7 linked regions of the Macaca mulatta genome follow. The protein of the gene in region 3 binds, or shares a complex with, the protein of the main gene of each other region. Links are inferred from orthologs where the notes say so. Each region holds a gene or a part of one and is shown on either strand. Other genes may lie near its edges. The genes, in order: POLR2E, ASDURF, RUVBL2, PFDN6, BRD8, ANP32E and UXT.

Region 1 (3,951 bases), about 60 Mb from region 3:
CGTGGTGGCGGGCACCTGTAGTCCCAGCTACTCTGGAGACTAAGGCAGGAGAATGGTGTGAACCCGGGAGAAGGAGCGTGCAGTGAGCCAAGATTGTGCCATTGCACTCTAACCTGGGCGACAGAGCGAGATTCCGTCTCAAAAAACCAAATAAACACTACTAAAAAAAGTAAAAGTAGCCAGGTGAGATGGTGTATGCCTGTAAACCTAGCTTTTTGTGGGAGGCTGAGGTGGGAGGATTGCTTCAACCCAGGAGGTGGAGGTTGCAGTGAGCCGAGATTGCGCCACTGCACTCCAGCCTGGGTGACAGAGAGAGAGACTCAGCCTCAAAAAAAAAAGAAGACCGGGCGCAGTGGCTCACGCCTGTAATCCCAGCACTTTGGGAGGCCGAGGCAGGCAGATCACCTGAAGTCAGGAGTTTGAAAGCAGCCTGGCCAACATGGTGAAACCCCATCTCGACCAAAAATACAAAAAAAAAAAAAAATAGCCAGGTATGGTGGTGGGTGCCTGCAGTCTCAGCTACTCAGGAAGCTGAGGCAGGAGAATTTTGAACTCAGGAGGTGGAGGCTGCAGCGAGCCGAAATGGCACCACTGCACCACCTGGGTGACAGAATGAGACTTTCAAAAAAAAAAAAGCAGTAGCATCACCCGGTTGGCAGACACGCTCCGTCCACCCCACTGATTAATTCTGGGCACGCGGCTGTGTCCCTAGGCGCTGGTAGTCCCCCAACCACTGAGGGCGCTAGAGCCATCCTGGGGGGGGGCAGACAGGTGGGGAGACTTCCACGGTCCAGGTGCTGAAACCGAGGGTCCCAGGGGTCCCGGGAAAAGCGGCCTGAGCACAACCTCGAGGGATGAGTAGCGGACGCTGACAAGGCAGAGGCGGCATGGGGTGCAGAGGAATGGGCTGGGGCAGACAGGGGCCACAGCTCACAAGGAGGCTGCGCTGACCCACACGGGGCCTCCTGGGCCAGGCCAAGAAGCTGGAAGTGCACCCAACGGCCAGGATGGGGGAGCCAAGGAACACAGGTAGGGCAAAGGTCATGAGGGGCTGCGGGTGAGTAGGGAGGTCCATGGGACTCTCCTGGTTGGCAGGAAGAAAGGGGACCGATGAGAGGGAAACCAGAAAGAGGCTGCGCATGAGAGGGGTCAGAGGTCCACGGCATCGCCCACAGCAAGGAAGAGGAGGGGAAGTTTTCCTCCCAGATTGGGCAGAGGATCAAACGCTGGGCACGAGGCGGGAGGGGGTGGGTGCTAGCGGCCGGCTCCTCAGCAGGTGCTCGGGCGGCTCCACCAGAACTCCCCCGGGACCCGCTGCTCACCTGGAAAGAACACAAACATCTGGTCGGTGGGGTCATCGTTGTGGGCCACCAGCACCGTGAGGTCAGTGCGCCGCGGCCGCCCCTCACTCGGCTTGTCTCCAAATTGGGCTTTGAACTCCTCCAGTGTCTGGTCAAGCTCGTCCTGGGTCACTAGGTAGCCACGGTCGTGGCACAGCTGCAGAGAGAAAGAACCAGCTGACCCCAGGGCAGAGACAGGAAGGCGGCCAGAGCTCGTGACCCAGAAGTCAGACCTGCGGCTGCTGCAGAGGACAGAGGTGAACAGCAAACGGAATGAACACTCGCTGTGTGCCCCATGACAGCCATCCTGGCCCCCACAGCCCCACACCACAGGATGGGACCAGCGTGATCCCGAGAGGCTCGCAGAGGTGTCCAGCCTTGACCAAGACCGTCCGTCTATCCAGCCTCACAGGAACCTGGCAGGGGGCAAAGCCCTCCAAACCACTTTGCAGAGCTACCCTAAAGACAGGGACAAAGACGGGGCGTGGGGGGTCACGTCCACGACCCCAGAGCTCAGGGAGGCCGAGGCAGGAGGGCTGCTTGAGGCCAGGAGTTCAAGGATGCAGTGAGCTATGACTGCACCACTGCGCTGCAGCCTGGGCGACAGAGTGAGAGCTTGTCTCTTAAAAAAAAAAAAAAAAAAAAAAAAAAAAAAAAGACAGGGACCGAAACAAATGTGACTTCAGGCTGACAATGTTTGCGGCCCGGAGGAAGGAGAATCAGGCTGCGGGGGGCTTCGCTAAAGACAAGGGCATAGGGGGTGGGGAAGCAAGACAAAACAAAAGCTCCCAAACGGCCCCAACGGCTGAGGGAGGACCCTGAACCGCAGGCCCTCAGACCTTTGCCCAGTTTCCAAACCGGAGTCGGCCCAGTGGCCTCCATCTGTCTCAGACCCCGAGGCACGGGTTCCGGGCTCCACGTCCCCATCGAAAGCCCCAGCTCGCCTGCTGCTTCCCAACCACCAACTCCGCCAGCCTCGGATGCTGAGACGCCCTGGGGTTCAGGACGCAAGGACAAATGGCGACGCTGAATCACAGAGAGGGGCAGGGTCTGGGGGCGCCCCCCGTCCCCATTCGCACCTTCCTCCTCTCGCCGCCATGTGCGCCGCACCAGCCCAAGCCGCCCGCCCACCGCTAAGCCCCGCACCCAGACGTCTCGAAACCCCCTCCCTTCCCCGCTGCCGGCTCAGGTCGGGCCCAGCGCCTGGGATCCCCGGCGGCCTCGGGGCCTCCCGTGTCGGCCGGGCCCTCCGTCGCTGCTGCTGCGACGGGAGTACGAGGAGACGCCGAGCTCGACCTCGCCTCGGGCCCCTGCACCTGCTGCTCGCGCCCCCGCCCCCAACACCACGCGCGGCTCACCTGCATGATGGTCTTGCGGATTTTCCAGAGCCGGTACGTCTCCTCCTCGTCGTCCATCGCCGCCACTCGCACCCGTTTTGCCTGCGAGAACCCGCGCGGACTGCGCCTGCGCCGACTCCCAATCAGGCCCCCTCCACGTAACCCCGCCCCGCGATGGGCTGTCGTCGGCGAACGCCTGAATGCAGCAACTTCCGGGATCGGCAGCGCCAAGGGCAGCCCGAGCCTTGCGAGAACGGCAGTTTGCTGCGCGAGACTCTCCCTCCGTAGTTCTCGTGTGTCTTTGGCTGCACGGCCTCTTGGGAGTTGTAGTTTCCGTTCAACTCCCACGTTGCGGCGACAGTTTAGAATCCCATGAGGCGGGGGCGAAGTGTGGGCGGGGAAACTGAGGCCTGGAATGGGTCAAGGGGCAGCTCGGCTCCTAGGGACGGTCGGGGAGCCTAGTGGGAACTCTTTAAATATTTGTGCATCAAACTGTACAGGGTTTCCTCTGTTGGCTCCAGGCCAGGTCAGGGTTAATGCCCTTGGGCCTCAGTTTCCCTACCTGTGCAATGGCAAAAAGTGTCCCTACTTTAGGCGGTTAACTGAGAGTCTTAGGTAGAGCTAGGCATATCTCTAGGTGCTTTTTAAGTCCCTTCACCTCTGTCCTCTCCCCTGAGTGCCAGCCTAGCCTGGGTATCTCCCCACCCCAGATCCGTCCTGTCTTTGCAAACCTCACCTCCCCAGATTCACGGAGGATCCCAGCCCAGCACTCGCTGTGTGAAGGCAATCAGTCACTGACTCAGTGATGCATTCATTAATTCAGCATTTACTCAGCAACCTACAGTGATGGTGAATAAAAACAGGCCAGGTATCCCTTGCATTCAGAGACAGGATTTAGTAAAATAACGTTACTGGGCGCAGTGGCTCATGCCTGTAATCCGAGCACTTTGGGAGGCTGAGGTGGGCAGATCACGAGATCAGGAGATCGAGACCATCCTGGCTAACACGGTGAAACCCCATCTCTACTAAAAATACAAAAAATTAGCTGGGCCAGGTGCCCGTAGTCTCAGCTACTCGGGAGGCTGACGCAGGAGAATGGCGTGAACCCGGGAGGCGGAGCTTGCAGTGAGCCGAGATCCGGCCACTGCACTCCAGCCTGGGCCGCAGAGCGAGACTCCGTCTCAATAAATAAATAAATAAATAGGACAGGCGCAGTGGCTCATGCCTGTAATCCCAGCACTTTGGGAGGCCAAGGTGGGTGGATCATGAGGTCA
Region 2 (3,486 bases), on a different chromosome or scaffold from region 3:
AGATAAAGACAGAAAATAGTAAAATATATCCAATTCTAAAGAAGTCACATATGTTGTGTTGTAGTTTAAATGCAACTAAAATATGCTATATTCTTACAATCAAAATGCTACAAGCTTTAAGGGTCAAAAATAGGTCTCAGAAATTATCAGAAGAAACAGTGTCATACCTTTGCACTGCTCTGATAGGATTTCACTCCATCTTGGGCCACTAACCAACCAATTCCTCTAGAAGCAAACCAGACTGCACAGCCAATGCTATCATCCAAAACTGTATCCAACGGCTGAATTAAGTGACATATTCGAGTCCTTCTTAATTTCTGCAGTTCTTCCATAGAAACATTAATTTCAACAAAATTCCAAATTCGGGAAGGGCTAACAGCTTTTAGTTCCTTTAGTCCCGCCCTTCCTGTGATTCTATCTGGTACACTGACATATTTATCAGGACTGTCGTCATCAGCAGCAGCATCATCTTTAGAGAATTCTTCAGAAGATATTTCACATTTATTTTTCTGTTTATTCCTTTCTTTGTTAAAGCTAGTTGGCATGGTCTTTTCTTCAGCTATGAAAGCTACATTAAGAAGATCAATTGGTTCATCTAAAGGAATATGACGGTCAGCAAGGGTTGCAATAACCATGGAATCAATGCCCCCAGAAAACAGGATTGCAACATTTGCTTTCCTATCACACATTTTCGAAACTTCATTTGCTGTCAGGTTTTCACCCCTAGGTAAACACAAGACACGTTTCTTGACTGCTACACTCAAGACATCAATGAACTGCTGAATTACTTCCTTTATGTGTACATCAGTAAGAAAGACCTGAAGTGTCTCTCTTGTAGGTGGCACATTGGAAATATTACTGCAATGAGTCTCCAATGCAGCTTGTGGCAACATCATATTTAAAGGAACAACAGGTTTTTCAAGATACAGTTTGGCTTCATTTGCTACCACGGATACAAATGCTGGTAAGTCTGCTGAAATTTGACTCAGGCTATTAACATTTTCTTCAATAATATTCTCCCTAGAAATATATTTCCAAGGATACAGTTGTAAAATAATGCATCTGGAAATGGCAGTAGACTTAAGATCAATTCGGAAAAGTCCAGATGCTGGAACTTCTTGCCACTGATTTGCCAATCCAGATGTTTTGGTGCCAACTGAAGAGAGGCAGAAACTCTTGCCCAAATTACTAAAATGCCAAAGCAAGCTACGGCGACCAAAAAAATCCCTACCAAACCATAAATAATGACTAGATGCTTGATAATATATAAATGACCAGGGACCTTGCACTTCTGAGAAGAGTGACAAAATCTCAGATTCATTCTTACAGGAGGAAAGATAATTAAACAAAATTTGAGTATCATTCTCTTCAGCTTCAACCTTTATTCCACTAAAAATTTCTCCATTCCACAGAAACACATTGCCTCTTTCATCTTCCACAGGCTGGGTAGTCAAAACACCCCTCAAGTGTAGGACGTGACCAGAAAATAAACACTGGTAGTTAACATCAGACTTGAACAATTGTTTACTACTATTGGGTCCCCGCTGTTTAAGATTATATAGTAAGTCCTCTTTTAAATCTTGACTGAAATGCTCAGCAGAAAAGTTTACAGAACAACAAATGCCACACATTGTTACGTGAAATTAGGTTGACTATTTCTTGATTTTGGTCTTCTCTAAGTTTTCTATTTCTTGGTATTCTTTTTTCAGTTCATCCAATATACCTGTTGCAGGGAAGGAGAATAAATATTAAATAACATAAAAATTCTTGGACTTTTACCTAGCAATTCAGAGGGCAAAACAAGCTGTTTACCAAAATCAAACCATATAAACACACACACTGTGCCAGTGCCAATGATAATTAACAACAGGCTACTAACAAAGAATGTTTATCTTTTACAAAAATAGCTTCTGTTTTGCCGGGTGCTCATTTTGGCCCAAGCACTTGGCTAAGCACTTTTTACACAGCATCTTATTTAGATCCCACAATACCTTGGAGGTTTAAAGTATTTCACCCAAAGTCACAAAGGTAGAAAGTGGTAATTGTTTGTCATACTTAGGCCTGTTTGAAACTCTAAAGCACATGTTAATAACTATTGCTAACACATATTATGATATATATATATATATATATTTATTTAAACTGTTGACTCATCTTTGGAAGGCTAACTTGAAGAAAACCAAACTGCTGCATTAATCTTTTGATATATATTTTAACATTCAGATGAGTATAATTTAGGCACCCCCCAAAAGCCACAAAAAAGAAAAAACTTACTTTTGCTCTCAGATAGCATTTCTGTTCGGTCTGCAAGAAAGAATATATTGCTGTTCTGTTGCTGCCTATATACTTTCTGGAAAACATAATTTAGGCTAAAATCAAATTTTGATCTAAAAAGTAGATGTTAAAATCCTTAACCCTATTATCACTAATTCTTGAACTTCAGTAATATATATTTAGTACTATACTTTAGCAAACACAGATAAGCAAAAACACAAATAAAAGTCATCCATTGCCCAACTACCAGAAAGTGCTACTACTGAAATGAAACTATTTTCTCTCCATATACCATTTTAACAAAAAATGTTCTTACTGTACCTGCAGATTTATGCTTTTATCAATGAGCAATATATTGAGAACACTTTTTCTTTTTTTTTTTTTTTGAGACGGAGTCTTGCTCTGTCGCCCAGGCTGGAGTGCAGTGGCGCGATCTCGGCTCACTGCAAGCTCCGCCTCCCGGGTTCACGCCATTCTCCTGCCTCAGCCTCCCGAGTAGCTGGGACTACAGGCGCCCACAACCGCGCCCGGCTAATTTTTTGTATTTTTAGTAGAGACGGGGTTTCACCGGAGAACACTTTTTCTTATCAGTAAGTGTTATTTTACAAGAACACAAAAATGGCAAAGCAAGCTACGGCGACCAAATTATACCTACTGCTATACAGGTATAATATATTACAGTTTATTTGCTCGCTTCAAATACTAAACATTTAAAGTGCTACCAACTCTTTGCTATTGTAAATCAACGTTGTGATGAATATCTTTGTAACTAAATCTTCGTGAACTCCCATGATTCTCTCCTAAGTATCAACTACTATAAATGGAACTGCTGGGTCAAAGTGTTATAGTTTGAGTTGTTGAGATTTGCCCTCAATTTGCCCTCTAGAGAAAGTCTGTATTAATTCTGCCTCAACTTTTTTTTTTTTTTTTTTTTTGAGATGGAGTTCTGCTCTGTCGCCTAGGCTGGAGTGCAGTGATGCGCTCAGTTCACTGCAACCTCTGCCTCCCAGGTTCAAGAGATTCTTGTGCCTCGGCCTCCCGAGTAGCTGGAAGTACAGGCAGGCACCCAGCTAATTTTTTTATGTGCTTCAACTTCTAATATTCCATAAGTGACAACATCAGAAATATCTAACCAGTTATTACATAATCTTTAAAATACTTTTAAGAGCTCAAACTCATTTGTTCCTGAATGTTAAAATGTAATTTGACACT
Region 3 (2,803 bases):
CAGAGGCCGGGCGCGGTGGCTGAAGCCTGTAATCCCAGCACTTTGGGAGGCCGAGATGGGCGGATCACGAGGTCGGGAGATCGAGACCATCCTGGCTAATACGGTGAAACCCCGTCTCTACTAAAAAAATACAAAAACTAGCCGGGCGAGGTGGTGGGCGCCTGTAGTCCCAGCTACTCGGGAGGCTGAGGCAGGAGAATGGCGTGAACCCGGGAGGCGGAGCTTGCAGTGAGCTGAGATCCGGCCACTGCACTCCAGCCTGGGCGACAGAGCGAGACTCCGTCTCAAAAAAAAAAAAAAAAAAAAAAAATAACAGAAACACACAAATGAAAACACACATAGACCCAGATTATATATATATTGATTGACGAAAATACTGTGAGTAAAGGCTCAAGAGAGCCTAACCCTGTATTCCACTAGGAGCAGTGGCTCAGGATCGGCTAATTGGAGTGTTCACGGTGACTCTCTAGAACCTCACTGCGGTGAATAAGGGGAACTGACTGTATACCCTGGTACCAGCCCTGGGCGGGCCCCGCTGCAACAGGGAACAAGACAGGTTCTGTCCCCTCCTTTGTGAAGCTTCATGTCGAGCACGGGAGTGGGACCTTGATCCAGTAATCCTCGAGGCAGAGAGCTAGCTTAAAGCAGCCCAGCTCTGCGGAAAGGTGTCCTTGGGGGACTGACAGTTGTGGAAGGCTGCGTCATCAGGGGGTGATGTCATCATGTGACAGGAGACACGAGCTAAAGGTTAAGTGGTGTTGGGCCCACTGAGTGGGTGGTGATGGGAGGTGGGAGTGTTTCCAGCAAAGGGAATGAAAAGGGAACATCCCCCTGACAGCCCCCTCTTTCTGCCTCTTCCTCAGAATCCGGGGCACCAGCTACCAGAGCCCCCACGGCATCCCCATAGACCTGCTGGACCGGCTGCTTATCGTCTCCACCACCCCCTACAGCGAGAAAGACACGAAGCAGATCCTCCGCATCCGGTGCGGGCAGGACCAGACCGTGCGCCTGGGAGGCGGGGCTGGGGTCTACCCTGTTTGACAAATGCCGACACTGAGGTCTGGCGGACTGGCATGGTGGCTGGGCCTGCAAGAGAGAGGGCTGATCTGGCACCCAGACAGTGGCCGCCGATCCGGGAGCAGGAGCCATGGTGGGAAAGGGAGGCGAGGTACCCGTGACCGGTGTGGGGGCCAGCGCCCTGGGCGTGGTCAGGAGGCCTAGGTTTTAGATCCAGCCCAGCCCCTGTCTCCGTGGCTCTTCTAGCCTCAGCATTCTATGGTTCTAAGATGCAGGCGCCACATATTCCCAGTGGGGAAGGACCAGAGGGTTGCTGTGGCCACTTCTGCTGCAGTCAGAGGCTGGGCCCTGGCTGAGCCACCCCCGTCCCCCACTGCTTGCAGGTGCGAGGAGGAAGATGTGGAGATGAGTGAGGACGCCTACACGGTGCTGACCCGCATCGGGCTGGAGACGTCACTGCGCTACGCCATCCAGCTCATCACGGCTGCAAGCCTGGTGTGCCGGAAACGCAAGGTCAGCCTGCCGAATTAGCCAGCAGGGCCAGATGGCGGCAGTGAGTGACGCACTACTTCAGGGGCTGCCAGGGTTCCAATTTCAACCTAGGATGTACATTTTCAGAGGCAGGGAATTTTCATCCCTCAAGTTGTCTTCTGTATCTCCCCGCCTGGCCTACAGTAGGTGCTCAGTAAATCTCTGTTGACTGTAAGTAGATGCTGTTAGGTCCACCTTACAGATAAAGAAACTGAGGAATGAAGAGGCTGGGCCCACAACCAGGAGATGGCCAGGCAGGTTTTGAACCCAGGCGATCTGGCCAGAATGCCCTCCCCTCACATGCCACCCTCTGCTGCCTAGAGCATGGAGGTGACATATGCTGGGGTCTGTGCCGTGAGCCTCACGGAGAGGGGCCCAACTCAGGACCCGCCCTCCCCCTCCAGGGTACAGAAGTGCAGGTGGATGACATCAAGCGGGTCTACTCACTCTTCCTGGACGAGTCCCGCTCCACGCAGTACATGAAGGAGTACCAGGACGCCTTCCTCTTCAATGAACTCAGTAAGAATCCCTACCCTGCACCTGCACTGCCAGAGCCAACCTCGGGGAGGAAGAGGGAGCTCGGCCTAGAAGGCTCAGGCCCTGCCCCCTGGGCCACACTGACCATGTGGCCTTCCTTCTCCCCACAGAAGGTGAGACCATGGACACCTCCTGAGCTGGATGTCATCCCCTGTCCCCACCCTGTTTTCTACCAGAGTTCTGACACTGTGACTTTGTATAAAATGGTTTGAAGCTGCACCCACTCTGTGTGTGGTTGCCCTGAGCCCACAGAAAGACACCTCCAGAGTGCGCACTGAGAAGCCTTTATTGCGGGAGGAACGGGGTGTCTGCTGGCTCCAGGAGTCAGGATGGACTTGGAGGGCTGGGGGGAGGGTCTTTAGAGGAAGAGGAGGCCTGGGAGTTGGGGGTGGTCACAAGTCAAAGGGTGGTCCTTGGGACCCCCGCAGTCAGAGGTGCTGCGGTGGCAGGGTCCACAACGACAGCTGAGAGCCACAGGGAAGGAGACCACGGGGTCCACGCCAGGCAGGCAGCCAGGGAGCTGGATGGAGTCGAAGCGCACCTCGCGGTAGGTGCACACCACCTGGGGCAGGGGCAGCAGGGCCGCCTGCAGCACCCGCATCTGGAGGATGTGTGGATAGGGGAGTGAGCATGTGCCTGGGGCCAGCGCCTCCGCTGACCTCCCAAGCTGCCTCCAAAGGTCCCAGACTCAGGAGTCCAGGAAGCCCTCTGTTCCCGC
Region 4 (3,079 bases), on a different chromosome or scaffold from region 3:
GACAAGGAAATGGCAGAACAACTTTATGGACAACATATAAACTTGGGAGGACTTATACACTACAAAGCATTACGTGCTGGGATTTTAAGTCAGTTTAAGCTACATTCAAGCAAATTCTAGGAAGACAGAGGCTGAAAAGTACCAATAGAGATGCCAGGGCTGCTGGCAAAGAGGGTAACCACATTTCATCCTGGGGCCTCAGGTTAGAGAACTGTGAATTCTTTTTCAATTGAACTGACATTCCTAGTAATACGCTATGTTGTAAATGCCCTTCCAAAATAATCATGCCAACCAAGATGAGGGAAAGTTAAGGGTTGTATATACAGGCAAGAAGTAGGTTTGAGGACATTTAGGATTTCACTTTCAAGAAAGAAAGAACATCGTGCCACAAAGAAGTTCCAAGTGCAAGAGTTTGAACCTGAGGGGGTAATACAGGTGGTGTGTGTGAAGGTGGAAGGGACTGTGGGGATATGACAGAAGCGCCTGGTCAGGAAACGGAGCCAGGTGTTTTTACATTTTATTAGCTACAGTATAGATGCTAGAGCTGCCTCATTCCCTCCCCTCCCCTCCCCCCACCAAGGGGTCAGGCCTTGCCAGGAGCCCCTGCCTTTGCCGCCTGGGCCCGCTGGAACTCCTGCTGCAGCTGAGCAAGGGTCTCCCTCTGTTGCTCTGACTGCCGCTCAAGATCCCGGAGCTGGGATTCATATCGCTTACTAAAGAGAGACAAGGGAGACAAGTAGAAAGGGAGAAATTAGTAGGACTTACTAAGGAGGGTGCTAAACGCAAGAAAGAGATAGGTGGAAAACTTGAGATTAGGGAAGGGAGAAGGGGGGTTAAAAGGGAAGGAAGGGGTTGGAGGAACTGGAGGACTAGGGGCCACTATGGAGAGCTGTTCTGCAATGGTTCAACACCTCTACTCCAATGGTTCACTGCATCACAGGGTGCAGCACACAGTGGTGGAATAAAGACTCACATTTCAGCTGTGATATAGTCCAGCCTCTTCCCTACTGTGGCCCGAGCCTCCCCCAGCTCCTGTTTGACTAGCACCGGACCCAGAAGTTTAAAGACCACGTTGGACCCATCCAGCAGGGCCAGTTCCTGATGGAGGGATGGGACATACGTGATCAGAACCATGGCTAGTACAGGTCCCTCCTCGCCCCACAAATCCCAGTCCCTCACCTCTTTCACGATATTATTTTCTGTTAGTTGTGCTTCAAGTTTCTGCCTCCCCGACATGGATTTACTCAAGTCTGGGGATAAGAGGAAAGGCAAGATTAGAAACATCAATCCTAGTCAGGTGGATATGGATCTGAGGAAGCAGAAAAAGATGGGGGCAGCGGGTCAGTGAATAGGGAAGAGTACTGAAGCGGGAAAGTCTCTGCACGCAAGGGCCCAGATGGGGCAACAAACCTTATCTCGGTAATGGCTTTGGGTTGTGAGTGCATTGGGCGAGGCCATACCGACCCTGCTCCCTTACCCTTCTGTAGCTGTTGATATTTCTCCACTTCTCCCTGCAGCTTCTTCTGGATCAGCTCCGCCATGGCGGGGATGAAAGCCTACGGGGAGCGAGACAAGGGCGCTGCGTCTCACTCTCTGGAAGGTACCTGAGCTCACTTTTCTGATCTCGCCTGCGGAAATGATAGCACTCTTGAGAGGCAGCCCTGAGGGGCACCGCCACCTCCCCCCGGTCCTGGGTATCGACTCCACCCCGTCCCCAGGATATGGTGGGCGAAACGCAAGACCGTAAGCCTCTCAACCGAAATCCTAACCTATTCACGTTCTGCTTTCAGTAGTAATAAACCCGGAAGTAAACGAGGAATGCCGGGAAAAGACTGCGCCGGAAGTTTCTTTCTGACCCTTGATGGGAAGTGTAGTTCTGACATGTTTAGCGAATGGAGTTCTGCTACAAAGACTGGACTCGGATATTTTTAGGCAAGATGGGGAAACTAACCCGGAAAAAGAAACCGCACCGCTACTTAGCCCCTGGTCCCGGGCCTGCCTTTCTTTTGTAAGTCACTCTTGCATAAGCTGCCGCTCCCGATAAGGTGCCAAGAGCTCTTCCGCCCCTCTAAGGAGAGTGTGCCCTCACTCAAGATGGCGCCTAGAGAGCTTCAGACCTGGTACGCTACTGATTGGATGAAGGATAGAGGGCTTCCGGGAGTTTTCAAGCCGACTGTGGGGCAGCTGAGAGGAGTTTTGCACGTGGATCGCCGTTCGGATGGGCGAGATGGAGACAGCCCCCAAGCCGGGCAGGGATGTCCCGCCCAAGAAAGACAAACTTCAGACCAAGAGAAAGGTATCGGCCTCCCTGGGTGGGAAAGGAAGTTTTTTGCTGCGGGGTCGGGGGGGCGGGGCGTGGGTGCGGAGTATCAGAGTTCCTGATCTGCTTGTAGAAACCGCGGCGATACTGGGAGGAAGAGACTGTTCCGACCACAGACGGAGCCTCTCCAGGGCCTCCTTGTAACAAGAAGAATCGGGAGCTCCGTCCTCAGAGACCAAAAAATGCTCACATATTAAAGAAGTCTCGGATCTCTAAGCAGCCTCAGGTCCCGAAGAAACCCCGAGAGTGGAAGAACCCGGAGTCCCAGCGGAGCTTGTCCGGGGTGAACGTGGAACCTAATGGGTGGCGAGGCAGGCCGCCTTGTGCTTTGAAAGGGTTGGGGTCAACCCAAGGCTGTCTACTAACTGCGTTCTCCTTTCCCCTAGGCCCAAGATCCATTCCCAGGCCCCGCCCCCGTCCCTGTGGAGGTGGTCCAGAAGTTCTGTCGTATTGACAAATCCCGAAAGGTGAGGTCCAGCCGGAGAGTTGGGAAGTGTTGGAGGCAGGGAGTGTCTGGGTGAGTTGAATGGAGGCTGGGCTAGGTAGCTCTCCTGTGACCCCACTTATCCTATGGTTCTTCTGCCACTCCTCCCCACCAACAATGTTATAGCTACCACGTTCTAAAGCCAAAACTCGAAGCCGACTTGAGGTGGCTGAAGCTGAGGAAGAGGAAACAAGTATCAAAGCTGCTCGTTCTGAGCTGCTGCTTGCTGAGGAACCGGGGTGAGTGGGCCCTAATCTGGACCCCCAATCCTTGCC
Region 5 (3,500 bases), on a different chromosome or scaffold from region 3:
GCCACCACTCCCGGTGAGGATTTATTCTTTTAGACTATCAGTGGTGATCCAGCCACTGGAATCATCAGTTTAGTACTTAGTGCCCCTTATAGCAAAACCATAAATTTACTTGCTTTAAACTTTCTATCTAAAGCAAAACTTTCACTAAGACTGGACAACTTATAATTCAGGCAAGTTACCATGCTGAGTGGATCATGGCTCACCTCTGCACAATGCTGTGGTAGCCAGGTGCTATGTCATCTGTAACAGGCTGCAGGAAGACATTGGCATACCTGTCCAAAAGGAATAAGGTGCAATTACTGACATTCTCCAGAAGAACAGGGAGAGAACTTACTCTAAGTAGCTGAAGATAGTAAGAACCAATACCAGCAGTTCCACAGAAGCCTACTCAGACTTTTTTCCAGTCACCAACAATGAAGAGTAAGAGAAAATGAACCTACTGACTGGTAAAGCCCACTCACCTATGATTAGCTGCAGCTCTCCATACAAGCATGATGGCTTTCTTCCAAATTTTCTGTGCCTGAATAGCTTCCTGATCCTCGCTACAGACAGAGCTGAAACAGAGATACAGCAATTTCACTAGGCACAAGTTAAAAAAAAAAATATATATATATATAAAATTATCTCTTTTTTTTAGAGACAGGGTCTCACTCTGTCCCCCAGGCTGGAGTGCAGTGGCGTGATCATGTTCACTGCACCCTCAACCTCCCAGACTCAATCCTCTCACCTCAGCCTCCCAAGTAGCTGGGACTGTAGGTGCATACCACCATGCCCAGCTAATTTTTTAATTTTTTTGTAGAGATAGGGTCTCACTGTGTTGCCCAGGCTGGTCTCGAAGTCCTGGGTTCCAGCGATCCTCCTGCCTTAGCCTCCTAAAGTGTTGGGATTACAGGTGTGAGCCACCATGCCCAGCCCTAATAATTTTTGTCAACTGTTTATTCCAGGCCAAAAAAGGGAAACACTAAAGAAAAGATCAGGCCAGGCATTGTGGCTCATGCCTCTAATTCTAGTGCTTTGGGATGTCAAGGCAAGAAGACTGCTTGAGGTCAGGAGTTCAAGACCAGACTGGACCACATAGGGAGATTCTGTCTCTTAAAAGAACATCTTTTAAAAACAAAAATTTAAAAATAAAGAAAAAGACCACGTATGGTGGCTCATGCCTGTAATCTCAGCACTTTGGGAGGCCGAGGCAACTGTTGAGCTCAGGAGTTTGAGAACAGCCTGGGTAAAATGGCAAAACTTGGTCTCTACTAAAAAAAATTTTTTTAATTAGTAGGGTGTGGTGGTGCAGGCCAGTAGTCCCAGCTACTAAGGAGGCTGAGGTGAAAGGATTGCTTGGGCCTGAGAAGTGGAGGTTGCAGTGAGCTGAGATCGCGCCACTGCCCTCCAGCATGGGTGAGTGAGAACAACAAAGGAAGGAAGGAAAGAAAGAAAGAAGGAGAGAAGAGAGGAGGGGAGGGGAGGGGAGGGGAGTGGAGGGGAGGGGAGGGGAGGGGAGGGGAGGGGAGGGGAGGGGAGGGGAGGGGAGGGGAGGGGAGGGGAAGAAAAGATCCTCTCCTTCTCACCTTCACTGCCTTAGCCTCAAAGGAAGAATCTCAGATACTCACAACTGTGAAGAAGCAGGGCTGCTGGGGATGGAGTCTGCCAGCGTGTGTGACTGCAGTGTAGCATTGTGTATGCTGAAGCCATCATCACTCTCGCTCACAGGAGGTTCATTATCCATTTCTGACAAATAACCTTCTCCTTGATCCTCTTCCTTAGGCTCCTCTAGGCTGGCCGCTTCACTGACACCATCTTCCTCCTCATCCTCACCTGGGGCATCCTTAGACACAGTATGCTCCAGTCAATAAATGCAAGCAAAGCTATCCAGCAAAGCATCATTAAACATGCTCTGTCTTTTGGGTTAGAATTAGTTCTAGAAATGACCTCACGCTGTTTCCTGACTTAGCTGTCTATCACTTATACTACCATCTACTTAAAGACACTGACTTAAGTAATTTAGAACCTGGACAAAGAATAATACCCAGGATCTTTTAAAAAGAAAGAAAAAAAAAGCTACTTACTTAAGACTAAGCTAAGAGGCGTTCCTTCTTTCCCCTTGTTCAAGAGTAACTCTGACCCTGGATACAAAGTTATCAAAAATAATTTTTATTTTGTGTCTCATCTGATGGAGCAAGCTCACATCGCATTCTTTAAGTCTCTGTTACTACTGCTTTAATAATTCTAAAAAGAAAACTTTGGATGATTTTCTTTGGATAGTCTAATTAATAAACTGGATTCCTGTATGTTCTCCTTAGTTCTGGTATCCTTATTCACTCCAAATCACTCTAAGTGTATCAAGGCTTCTTAAGGACTGTGATATTCACAAGCTGTTTCATATGGGAGGCACCTGTTGCTACAGTACTCCCATTATGCCTGTCTACTGCAGCTTTTCCCCACGCAACTCCATACCAGTCTCTTATCAGAGAATAAAAATGCGACTTTACTGAAATTCATTAAAAAGTAGTGCTATAGGGAAATCTAATCACATGGCAAGAGGAATAAAGAAAAGTCTGAAATACCTTTATCTGGCTTCCAAAAATAGTCCCTGATTCTTCTTTCAATGAGTCTGCAGAGGAGAGAAAGACTACCTGAAGATTTTTCCACCTTAGCCTTCCCCTTCCTATGGACCATAATCCCCTGCAGCTCTCCTTTCCATGCTGACCTGTTCTACCTCCTCTACTTGCCCACAACCCACAATCCCTCAGAAGCCAAAGCAAATGATTTCAAGTTAGTTAAAGAGGACTTTATTTACCTGACATTTCGAACTTGTGCTGAGTCTCTGCTTCTAAAGGATCTTCAATGGGATTTGAGCCATGTGATGGAGACAACATGCTTTCAGGGGATGCCTGAAAACCAGAAAAGAAAAAACACCCTAAGTACTGGTAAATCACTATAGCTCACACAACTTTATTCTTCAATGATAATGAGACCATAGAAGAAATTCTAAGTCCTATTCATGTAATGTGACTCCAATGGTCACCTTAACAGGAATAAGTATATATAACACTAATCACAGCCTATGGGCTTTGGACCATCAAACATGTCAGAACTCAGGAATGCAACTGGAAAACCAAAAAACCTAAGCTATCACTTCTTACTTAAGGTATAACCCTCCATCTCCCCAGCCCCTGATCTTTATTAAGTACCTCTGTCTTCACATTTGTAAGTGGAGTCTCATCGCCTTTCCCAATGGCAACATCTGCTTCAACAATCTCTCCAGTTGCAGTACTTCCCGGTTCCTCATCTAAGTCCTGACTCCTGAGTTCTGGTGGCTCCATACTTGTGGCTGGAACAACTCCAGCTACTATTTCAGCCCCTGAAATGACTGATTCTGGTTCTGCAGGTTCCACCTTGATCTCTGCACTGGGCTCCCTGATGTCCACCAGTTCATGTATTCCCTTGTTTTCAGTTTCCTCAAAGTCCAGTCTCTCTTGCTTGACTGTCATTTCTGGTGCAGG
Region 6 (4,144 bases), on a different chromosome or scaffold from region 3:
GTTCTCTATACCCGATGTGAAAACCTGTTTGAGGTATCCGAGGGCTAAAATTTGGCAACAAGGAATGCCACCTTCTCTATTTGAATACGACTTTGACATAATTATTTCTGTTGCCAGAGAGAGCATCTTGAGCTCCGTTTTGGAGAAGTGGAAGCTATGGCCCAGAGAACAAGAATGGCTTGCCTAGAGTCACACTTGGTTTGCAGCAGGGCTGTGAATTGGTTCGTCTTCACACTCCCCATTTAGTTGAGGAGTGGGGGCTACTAGATTTGGTGTCAGAAAACCAATTCCTGCACTTGCGTAAATCATTTCACTGTCCTGAGACTCCGTCTGCTAATTTGGATTCTAGAATAACACAATCCACTTTACAAGTGTGTAAGGAGGAAAGTAAATAACAAACGGGAAAAGTGCTTTGTAAACTGTCTACACAAATGTAAGAGACCGTTATTACAACACAGAGGAAGAAGCTGAAAAAAGGCAACGTCCTGCACTCCCAAAACTGGCAAAGAAATTACTACAATCACTAAGTCAAAGAATCCTGGCGGGGGAGGCGGGGGCGGGATTCAATTTTCCAACCCAAGCCACCAAAAAGTATTCTAAACGTGTGCTTGTGAGAGACAGCTTTTCAAGTTTGATTTTGTTTTTTCCCTGAAGCCCCTAAGAATAAGTTCTAGAAACTTCAAGATCTCTCCGGAATGACCCTGATAGCAAGCAACTGTTTCCCCTCCCTGGCCCCTGCCAATTTCAGAAAACAGGCACCTTAAAAAAAAAAAAAAGGCCGGGCGCGGTGGCTCAAGCCTGTAATCCCAGCACTTTGGGAGGCTGAGACGGGCGGATCACGAGGTCAGGAGATCGAGACCATCCTGGCTAACACGGTGAAACCCCGTCTCTACTAAAAAATACAAAAAAAAACTAGCCGGGCGAGGTGGCGGGCGCCTATAGTCCCAGCTACTCGGGAGGCTGAGGCAGGAGAATGGCGTGAACCCGGGAGGCGGAGCTTGCAGTGAGCTGAGATCCGGCCACTGCACTCCAGCCTGGGTGACAGAGCGAGACTCCGTCTCAAAAAAAAAAAAAATTTATTAAAAAAAAAAAAAAAAAGTCTTAGTTGCCACTCCACACGCCGTACGCGAAAGCCTAGACAGACCCTGCTCATCCTCTATGCGGGTCTGCACAGACACCACCCCAGTTATATCCTTCTATCGATCGGTCGATCCAGCTACAGACAACTCCCTTACATTCCAATTCTAGGGCTTCTTTCAGCAAGACAGATGCTTTCCTCTGCGAGGCTCCCCGCTGGCCACCAGCCCTGCTCTCGCGACCTGCCGCTCCGACTGACGGGAAACCCCACACCGGGCGGGGACTCCCCAAGGAAAAAAGGGGTCGCCTCCCAACCCGCGTTGCCCTCGCGCCTTCGCCCTGGGTAGGTGAGGCCGAGGAGGCAACCGCGAAAAGGAGGCGGAAACGCCTCCTGCCCGACCCCCGAAAAGTTGACCGCGACCCCGCCTCATGTGGCCCCTCCCAACGCCGTCTCTTTAACTAAGGCAACAGCAGTGAGAGCGCATCATTTAGTTTCGGCGAACCCATCTTTAAAGCACGAAACTACTACGTCCCTTATGTTGAGTTCTGTGAAACCGTCTCCAGGGATCAAATTCAAGAGTTGCGGCCACACGACGTGCCACATATCTTTACACGGCGGGGGAAGAAGCGGATTACGCCTCCCGTCCCCTCCCCACCTCCGGTCACTGCGACGAGTCCCCAAACTCGCCCGCGGTCAGAGAACCCGCGGCTGACCCAGATTCCGCCGGGCGGAGGGCGGAGGGCGGAGGGCGGAGGGCAGCGCGCGCGGCTTCCCGGAGGAGTGGGCGCCGCCGGAGCAGACAGTGCGCGGACCTTGAAAGCGACCCCAGTCCGCGCCCGTCGCGACGTCGGATGCCCAGGGCCTTGAGGCCGGGGGAGCCCACCCCCCAAAAAGATGAGTTGGCCGCACTGCAGAAAAGTTGGACTAACTTCTCAGGCGCCGATGGCTGCGGCAGGGGCCGAGTGGGACTGGGGGGTCGCGTCCCACGCCGCTGGCCCTCAGGAGGAGGAGCGCCGGGAGCGAAGCGGCAGAGCGCCCCCACCAGCCCGCTTCCCGCCCCCACGAGGCCAGGACGCCCGACTCGATGAAAGCCGAAAGGAGCTAAGCCCCCATGCACACACAAAAACGCCCCTAGAAACTTCAACCCTTCGCCATTTTAAGTAGAAGATTTTAATGATTTAAAACTTAAAATTAAACATTTCCCCAACCCTAAACCGGGGGGGCGGGGGCTAACTTATTACTCCATCCCCGCACACCCACCCAGGACCACCAGAAATCCGATCCTCAGAATACACGACTGATGGGGAAGGGGTGGGGGCTGAGTCATCTCACCTCCTCCGGGGCTCTGTTCCTTAACTCCAGGTTAATCTTCTTCTTCATCTCCATGTCCTCCTCTTGCTCTTCAGCTACTACTCTCCTTCTTTTCCCTTTCCTGCCTTTCCCAATACCCCCAACCCAAAATTTTTAAGAGATTTAGAAATGAATGAAAAGGAACGCAAATATAAACGCCCACTACCACCAGATAGGTGTGGGGGAGAAAGAAGAGAATAGCAAATGGAGTCCAAGAGTTGGGACTCTAACTCAGCTGCCCCCACCTCCTTGTCCACACACTAGCGCGCGCACTCACACGCACGCACGCGCGCACACACATACACACACACATACACACGCACACACACACACACCCGCAGTTCCTTCCCCTTCAATGGCTGCTCAGAGACTGAGCCTCCATGACACGGCACCGCCAACCCCCTGGCCTACACTCCACCCACCTCCCAAACGTATTGGTTGATTCTTTAGCGTCACATTATTCCATTGGGCTAGGTAAATGTCTATCAGTCTTCAGGGAGGACCTGGACCAGAAACTCCGTATCTATTGGCTACGATCAAGGGCGCAGTTAATTTTGATAGGTCCAGGAGGGTGTACGTCCGGGAGTAATGATTTTGAATCCCAGTTCCCCCCCTACTTTTCTTTATGTAGTTGGCGCGCTTTCCCTGGGCACTCGGACGGTTTTGTTGTCTGTTGGATTTGTTTTTTAGTTTTTGGTTTTTTATTCTGTTGTTAGTGTTAAAAAGGGAGAAAGCATCCTTCCGTGCCCAACTTGCGATACTGATAATTCACCACACGGCATGCACTGGCTCTTGGCCGTTTTAAAAACACAGCCTCTGCTTTGCAGCCAAGGTGTACAGCAACGTGCGCATCACATTAAAAAGATGCCTTGGTGGCATTGTCCTGCTGGGGTCAGGCTTTTCACAGAGGCTGACCTTCCGTGATGCAGAGCCAGAGCCAAGATTTTAAAGATGGTAGTTTAACACTATAAAAGACAACAATTTTGAAAGCAGTTGGGTGAAGTATGTAAGTTAATAATATTTAAATAAAACTATCCTGGAGGAATTGTTACTGAGTTAATTTTTGCTGTAATAAACACTAAGACCTTGGAGGAAAAACAACGCTGGCCTAATGAAAATCAGACATTAATTAGCATAGAAATGGCACAGCAATGCCTCTCTAATTTCCCTTTGGTTGGTTTCCATGGAAATCTGTAGGTAAAGTGTGCTTTTAAAAGTGTTTATCGCTTCTTCTCTGCCTTTTGGCTAAGATCAAGTGTAGGATCTGTTCTTAACAGTTTAATATCTGATATATTTTCTATCCGAGTCCAATATATTAAATGGATTTGGGGAGCAGGAAGACGCAATAGGAGCTTTCTTGTTCACTTAACGCATCCACCTGGTATTACAGTACCTCCAGGAACAGTGCACCCCCTCAGGGGATTAAAATTTAGTGTTCAGGACAGAAGAAGGAAAAAAAAAAAAAAAAAAAACCAGTTTGTCTATGTGGGATGGGATATGAAAGAGTGGGATAATAATTATCTTTTAGCCGGGTGTGGTGGCTCACACCTGTAATCCCAGCACTTTGGAAGGCCAAGGCGGTGGGATCACCTGAGGTCAGGAGTTCGAGACCAGCCTGACTAATATGGTGAAACCTCGTCTCTACAAAAAGTACAAAATACTAGCCGGGTGTGGTGGCGGGCGCCTGTAATCCCAGCTACTCCAGAGGCTGAGATA
Region 7 (4,070 bases), on a different chromosome or scaffold from region 3:
TGTTTGTACTACTCTAGTCACCCGGGATATAAACCAAAGCTCCCCCTTTGTAAAACTTACATTCTAATTGGAGGAGACAATATGAGAAAGCAAGAAATTACACAGTAAATATTAGGGGGTGATAAGTGTTAGGGAAAAAAAGTAGACGGAGGGGAATCAAGCATGCCAGGGGCTGTGATTTTAAAGTTAGGTTACAGAGGGCCTCATCGAGGAAGCGACATTTAAGCGAGATGAGTGAGGAGAAAGGAAGCCATGTGGGTACTGGGGAAAAGGGCAGTGCAGGCAGAGAGAACAGCTACGGCAATTGCCCTGGGGTGGGATCATTCTTGGGGTGCTGAAAGAAGCATGTGAAGGTCAGTGTGGCAGGAACACAGTGAATGAATAGTAAAATTAGCAGGAAGTGAAATCACAGGTAACTAGTTTTCTTGTTACCAACTCTAACAGGCTGAGACCTCATGGATCTGGTCATAATTGTATTTATGTATAACAGTATAGTCCTTCTAGATTTTAAGCCTTCAAGGAACTCTTCTGTCTTGTTCACTGCTGCATTCCCACTGCTAAGCACAGTGCCTGGCATACAGAAGATTCCCAATAAATGTCTGCATGAATGAACGATACAAAGATCATTTTTTGAATGCTTATTATGTGCTATACATGGGCTTTGCAACCACATTTCTTCAGCCCCAGCTCTGAGGAGGAGGGGAGATGAGTCCTTAAGTATCATTCTAGGCAGCCATGGGGAAAGTGAGAAGAGTGTTGGAAATGGTGGTATTTTTACACACTATCCTCATGGAATGGACTTACTCTGTGAGGAGAGAGCTCTTACGATCAATGAACTTGAGAGCTTCTGCCAGTGTCAACTCCAGGAAAAAACCATATCCCAGGGCCACATAGATGCGTGAAGTATCTGGGCTGAGGAAAGAGAGGTTAGAGGAAGTGCGGGGGAAGTCCTTATCACTGTTTAGCAGAGTGTATGTTTTGCTCCCCACCCTTCCCCAAATTGAGGCTCTGGGAAGGCAGGGATTTTGTCCTATTTTATTCACTGTCACATCCCCAGCGCCTAGCTTATATCCTACTGGGATAATAAACCTCGTATAGTGCCTGGTACATAGAAGATACTCAAAAAAATATATGTTGCATGAGGGAAGGGGTAAGCTGAACCCTGTGGGCTCAGAGGGGCGGGTAGACACTCACACCACTGTGTCAACGAAGAAGTTACAGCCCAAATCCACCTGCATATATAACTCCGAGTGCTTAGCTTCCTGTGGGGCCAGGGAAAAAGAGGTAGGGGTCAGTGGTGAACTCTTAGGTCAGGTGACAGGTTTGGCTCTGGAGTCTCTCTTCCCATTTCCCTCCCTTACCCACACACACCAAAAAAATGATACCCAACCCCATAGTCTTTACCTGGAGTCGCTCAATGACATTTCTCAGTTGAAGGTATTTGGCCAGCTGCTCATATACCTTGTCTCGATGGTCCAGCACCTTTCTGATGGGATGAAAGTACAATGGTGACCAATAGGCAGCCCCATTCCTCCTAGTATACCTCATATCATGACCCTCTGAGACTCTCACGTCACCATACGCTGAAAAGGCTTTTTAGTGTACAAGTTAATTTTGGGCTCTGGGTCAGACTGCCTGGGTTTGGATCTGGGCTCTGTCCTTTATAGATGTGTGGCTTTGGCAAGTAAGGAACCTGTTTGGGACTTGGTTTCCCCATTTATAAAATGCAGATGACAGTATTACCTTGTAGAGTCATTAGGATTAAATGAGCATTTACTCAAAGCATCTAGAATAATGCCTACCAAATGGTAAACTCTCTACATGTTAGCTATTATTACTATTACTACACTCCCAATACTGAACTCCAATCATAATGTCCCATCCTCACCCTAGAAAAATCCTCCATCCCTTTTAGGATGCTCATAGTCCTAGTTCTGAACACCTTACTTCTTGCTTAGATTAACAAAAATTGCAATAATATTTCTTCATACTTATTGAACCTCTACTATGTTTCAGGCATCCATGCTACTAAATTATTTACAAAGATGGGACATATGAAAAACTCAAAACCACTGCATGGGGAAGGTTCCAGAAAACTCCCCATTTCACAGAGAAGTTTATAGGGCACAGAAAGGCGAGGTATGACGTATTCACAAGGATGAAGAATGGCCGAGCCAGGATTCGAACCTGAGAACTGTGGCTCCAGAAAACAAGCCCTAATCCGTCAAACATCGGAGGCCGCGCATGCGCTGACACGCCCCCTGCTATGAACGCCACGTCCCAGCCAAACTGCACCCCGGATATCATCACCACTTCACGCTCCAAGGAGCGCGGGGCCGGACTCTGAACGCCTCGCCCACCAATCCAAAGGGTTGGCCCTAACTCTGAACGCCCCACCCACCACGTGGAATGTTCCAGACGCCCCGCCCTCTGCACTGTCACTCACCGCAAGTCCCGCTGCAGCACGTCACTGATGAAGGTCTCGTAGCGCAGTACTTTCTCCCCCGTGGCCTCCACCGCCCGCCGCTTAGGGGGCGTCGCCATGATGGGCTCCTGGGGAGTGGGGAGGGGGAAGACCACGTTGACCGCTCCAGTTTGGCCTCACACACAGTTCATCTCTACCCTCTCAACGCTGGGAATCGACTTGTCCGGCTCAAGCTGGGGGCTCAGCCTTCCGCCCCTCCCAACTCGGGGACCCGGCCACCCAGGGACACCCAAGCGCGGCCTTTACCTCAGGGCCGCCAGCAATAAAAACGGTTGGTAGGAACCGCGGCTTCCGGGTGGCGCGGGTGAATGACGTAAGTGGCAAGCGCGCTGGCCAACCAAATAGCCAGCTGGGGAAGACGGGCCAAAGGGGAGAAGAGAAGGGCGGGGCTTCACGGAATCCGAGGAGATCAAAGATGACTAGGGCGTGGGAGCAGGCCATCTGGCAATAAACCGGCCAATGGGGGACTGCAAAAGCGGCGCGTGGAGCCTATGGAGACCGTGCGTCGCTGGTGAGGGTGGGATTTAATGGGATTTGGCGGTTCTAAGTTAGGCGCGACGCACAGGTAGAGGTAGAGAGAGGAAGTGAAGAGTTTAATATTTAAAAGGACCTAAGAATTGACTATGGTTCTGGTCTATAAGGAAGATCCCGTGTGATCTGTCGGCTTGGATATTGATTTGTCATACGGGAGGTTTGGGTTTCACTCCTGGCAATGGGACTGAGTATGAGCACTTAAAAGGTTTTAAACAGAGACAGATTTTCTAAAATTCATCTTTGATAACTCCAGCTCTGTACCTGCAACCTATAACTGAGGCTCAAGCGGAAATTGACAACGCACTATATCTAATCACCTCGTTTGATAGTCAAATGGAGAGGGTGGCTGAAGTCCTCTGCAGAATATTGGCCATCTTGTAGTTAGGCATAGTTCCCATGTTTTTATTTAAATGGTAAGGTTTTTGTGAATTTATTCTTATGCACTAGAGTGACTGAGTGAATTTGTTTTTCAGTTTAGATTTTTTTTAAAAAAATTATACTTTAAGTTCCAGGGTACATGCACACAACGTGCAGGTTTGTTACATATGTATACATGTGCCATGTTGGTGTGCTGCACCCATTAACTCATTAGGTATATCTCCTAATGATATCCCTCCCCCCTCCCCCCTCCCCACAATAGGCCCCGATGTGTGATGTTACCCTTCCTGTGTCCAAGTGATCTCATTGTTCGGTTCCCACCTATGAGTGAGAACATGCAGTGTTTGGTTTTCTGTTCTTGTGATAGTTTGCTGAAAATGATGGTTTCCAGCTGCATCCATGTCCCTACAAAGGACACGAACTCATCCTTTTTTATGGCTGCATAGTATTCCATGGTGTATATGTGCCACATTTTCTTAATCCAGTCTATCACTGAAATGCCTTAAATTCAGGTTAGATTTTCAAACAAGAACTTATAACCCAGCAAGAATGGGCCTTTGCCTGGAGAAGAATCCAGACCATGGGATGAATCTCCAAATGCTATTTCCATCTATAGAGCTTAGAGCACCCACCCCTACCAAGGAAGTCTTCCCAGATAATTTGTGTTTCATAT

Evidence for each region.
Region 1: RUVBL2 (region 3) and POLR2E share a complex: the UniProt entries of both Homo sapiens proteins name them as parts of the PAQosome complex. The link is inferred for Macaca mulatta from reciprocal best matches to the Homo sapiens genes RUVBL2 and POLR2E.
Region 2: RUVBL2 (region 3) and ASDURF share a complex: the UniProt entries of both Homo sapiens proteins name them as parts of the PAQosome complex. The link is inferred for Macaca mulatta from reciprocal best matches to the Homo sapiens genes RUVBL2 and ASDURF.
Region 4: RUVBL2 (region 3) and PFDN6 share a complex: the UniProt entries of both Homo sapiens proteins name them as parts of the PAQosome complex. The link is inferred for Macaca mulatta from reciprocal best matches to the Homo sapiens genes RUVBL2 and PFDN6.
Region 5: RUVBL2 (region 3) and BRD8 share a complex: the UniProt entries of both Homo sapiens proteins name them as parts of the nuA4-related complex. The link is inferred for Macaca mulatta from reciprocal best matches to the Homo sapiens genes RUVBL2 and BRD8.
Region 6: RUVBL2 (region 3) and ANP32E share a complex: the UniProt entries of both Homo sapiens proteins name them as parts of the SWR1-like complex. The link is inferred for Macaca mulatta from reciprocal best matches to the Homo sapiens genes RUVBL2 and ANP32E.
Region 7: RUVBL2 (region 3) and UXT share a complex: the UniProt entries of both Homo sapiens proteins name them as parts of the PAQosome complex. The link is inferred for Macaca mulatta from reciprocal best matches to the Homo sapiens genes RUVBL2 and UXT.

What each region holds. Positions count from the first base shown.
Region 1 is NC_133424.1:1,752,873-1,756,823, forward strand, and holds the start of POLR2E (DNA-directed RNA polymerases I, II, and III subunit RPABC1), read right to left. Parts: upstream 2,801-3,951; 5' UTR 2,756-2,800; coding exon 2,699-2,755; intron 1,498-2,698; coding exon 1,323-1,497; intron 1-1,322. UniProt on the Homo sapiens protein: DNA-dependent RNA polymerase catalyzes the transcription of DNA into RNA using the four ribonucleoside triphosphates as substrates.
Region 2 is NC_133417.1:94,654,492-94,657,977, reverse strand, and holds the end of ASDURF (ASDURF protein), read right to left. Parts: intron 2,351-3,486; coding exon 2,275-2,350; intron 1,724-2,274; coding exon 1,653-1,723; 3' UTR 1,632-1,652; downstream 1-1,631. Other genes in the region: ASNSD1 (asparagine synthetase domain-containing protein 1), read right to left, coding at 168-1,631.
Region 3 is NC_133424.1:61,470,578-61,473,380, forward strand, and holds the end of RUVBL2 (ruvB-like 2), read left to right. Parts: intron 1-863; coding exon 864-983; coding exon of another isoform or gene 984-1,002; intron 1,003-1,374; coding exon of another isoform or gene 1,375-1,400; coding exon 1,401-1,530; intron 1,531-1,952; coding exon 1,953-2,067; intron 2,068-2,195; coding exon 2,196-2,221; 3' UTR 2,222-2,303; downstream 2,304-2,803. Other genes in the region: LHB (lutropin subunit beta), read right to left, coding at 2,444-2,686. UniProt on the Homo sapiens protein: Possesses single-stranded DNA-stimulated ATPase and ATP-dependent DNA helicase (5' to 3') activity; hexamerization is thought to be critical for ATP hydrolysis and adjacent subunits in the ring-like structure contribute to the ATPase activity.
Region 4 is NC_133409.1:148,999,055-149,002,133, forward strand, and holds PFDN6 (prefoldin subunit 6), read right to left. Parts: upstream 1,800-3,079; 5' UTR 1,770-1,799; exon of another isoform or gene 1,557-1,769; 5' UTR 1,542-1,556; coding exon 1,478-1,541; intron 1,251-1,477; coding exon 1,180-1,250; intron 1,099-1,179; coding exon 974-1,098; intron 714-973; coding exon 584-713; 3' UTR 501-583; downstream 1-500. Other genes in the region: WDR46 (WD repeat-containing protein 46), read left to right, coding at 2,219-2,296, 2,394-2,603, 2,707-2,787, 2,931-3,043. UniProt on the Homo sapiens protein: Binds specifically to cytosolic chaperonin (c-CPN) and transfers target proteins to it. Binds to nascent polypeptide chain and promotes folding in an environment in which there are many competing pathways for nonnative proteins.
Region 5 is NC_133411.1:147,018,802-147,022,301, forward strand, and holds part of BRD8 (bromodomain-containing protein 8), read right to left. Parts: coding exon 3,189-3,500; intron 2,889-3,188; coding exon 2,795-2,888; intron 2,609-2,794; coding exon 2,562-2,608; intron 1,823-2,561; coding exon 1,608-1,822; intron 555-1,607; coding exon 462-554; intron 273-461; coding exon 204-272; intron 1-203. UniProt on the Homo sapiens protein: May act as a coactivator during transcriptional activation by hormone-activated nuclear receptors (NR). Isoform 2 stimulates transcriptional activation by AR/DHTR, ESR1/NR3A1, RXRA/NR2B1 and THRB/ERBA2.
Region 6 is NC_133406.1:116,901,952-116,906,095, reverse strand, and holds the start of ANP32E (acidic leucine-rich nuclear phosphoprotein 32 family member E), read right to left. Parts: upstream 2,801-4,144; 5' UTR 2,465-2,800; coding exon 2,411-2,464; intron 2,077-2,410; exon of another isoform or gene 1,734-2,076; intron 1,517-1,733; exon of another isoform or gene 1,236-1,516; intron 1-1,235. UniProt on the Homo sapiens protein: Histone chaperone that specifically mediates the genome-wide removal of histone H2A.Z/H2AZ1 from the nucleosome: removes H2A.Z/H2AZ1 from its normal sites of deposition, especially from enhancer and insulator regions.
Region 7 is NC_133426.1:47,680,317-47,684,386, forward strand, and holds the start of UXT (protein UXT), read right to left. Parts: upstream 2,801-4,070; 5' UTR 2,757-2,800; coding exon of another isoform or gene 2,545-2,756; coding exon 2,447-2,544; exon of another isoform or gene 2,435-2,446; intron 2,401-2,434; exon of another isoform or gene 2,017-2,400; intron 1,487-2,016; coding exon 1,405-1,486; intron 1,263-1,404; coding exon 1,195-1,262; intron 913-1,194; coding exon 805-912; intron 600-804; exon of another isoform or gene 433-599; intron 1-432. Other genes in the region: uncharacterized protein LOC144338585, read left to right, coding at 2,543-2,756. UniProt on the Homo sapiens protein: Involved in gene transcription regulation. Acts in concert with the corepressor URI1 to regulate androgen receptor AR-mediated transcription. Together with URI1, associates with chromatin to the NKX3-1 promoter region.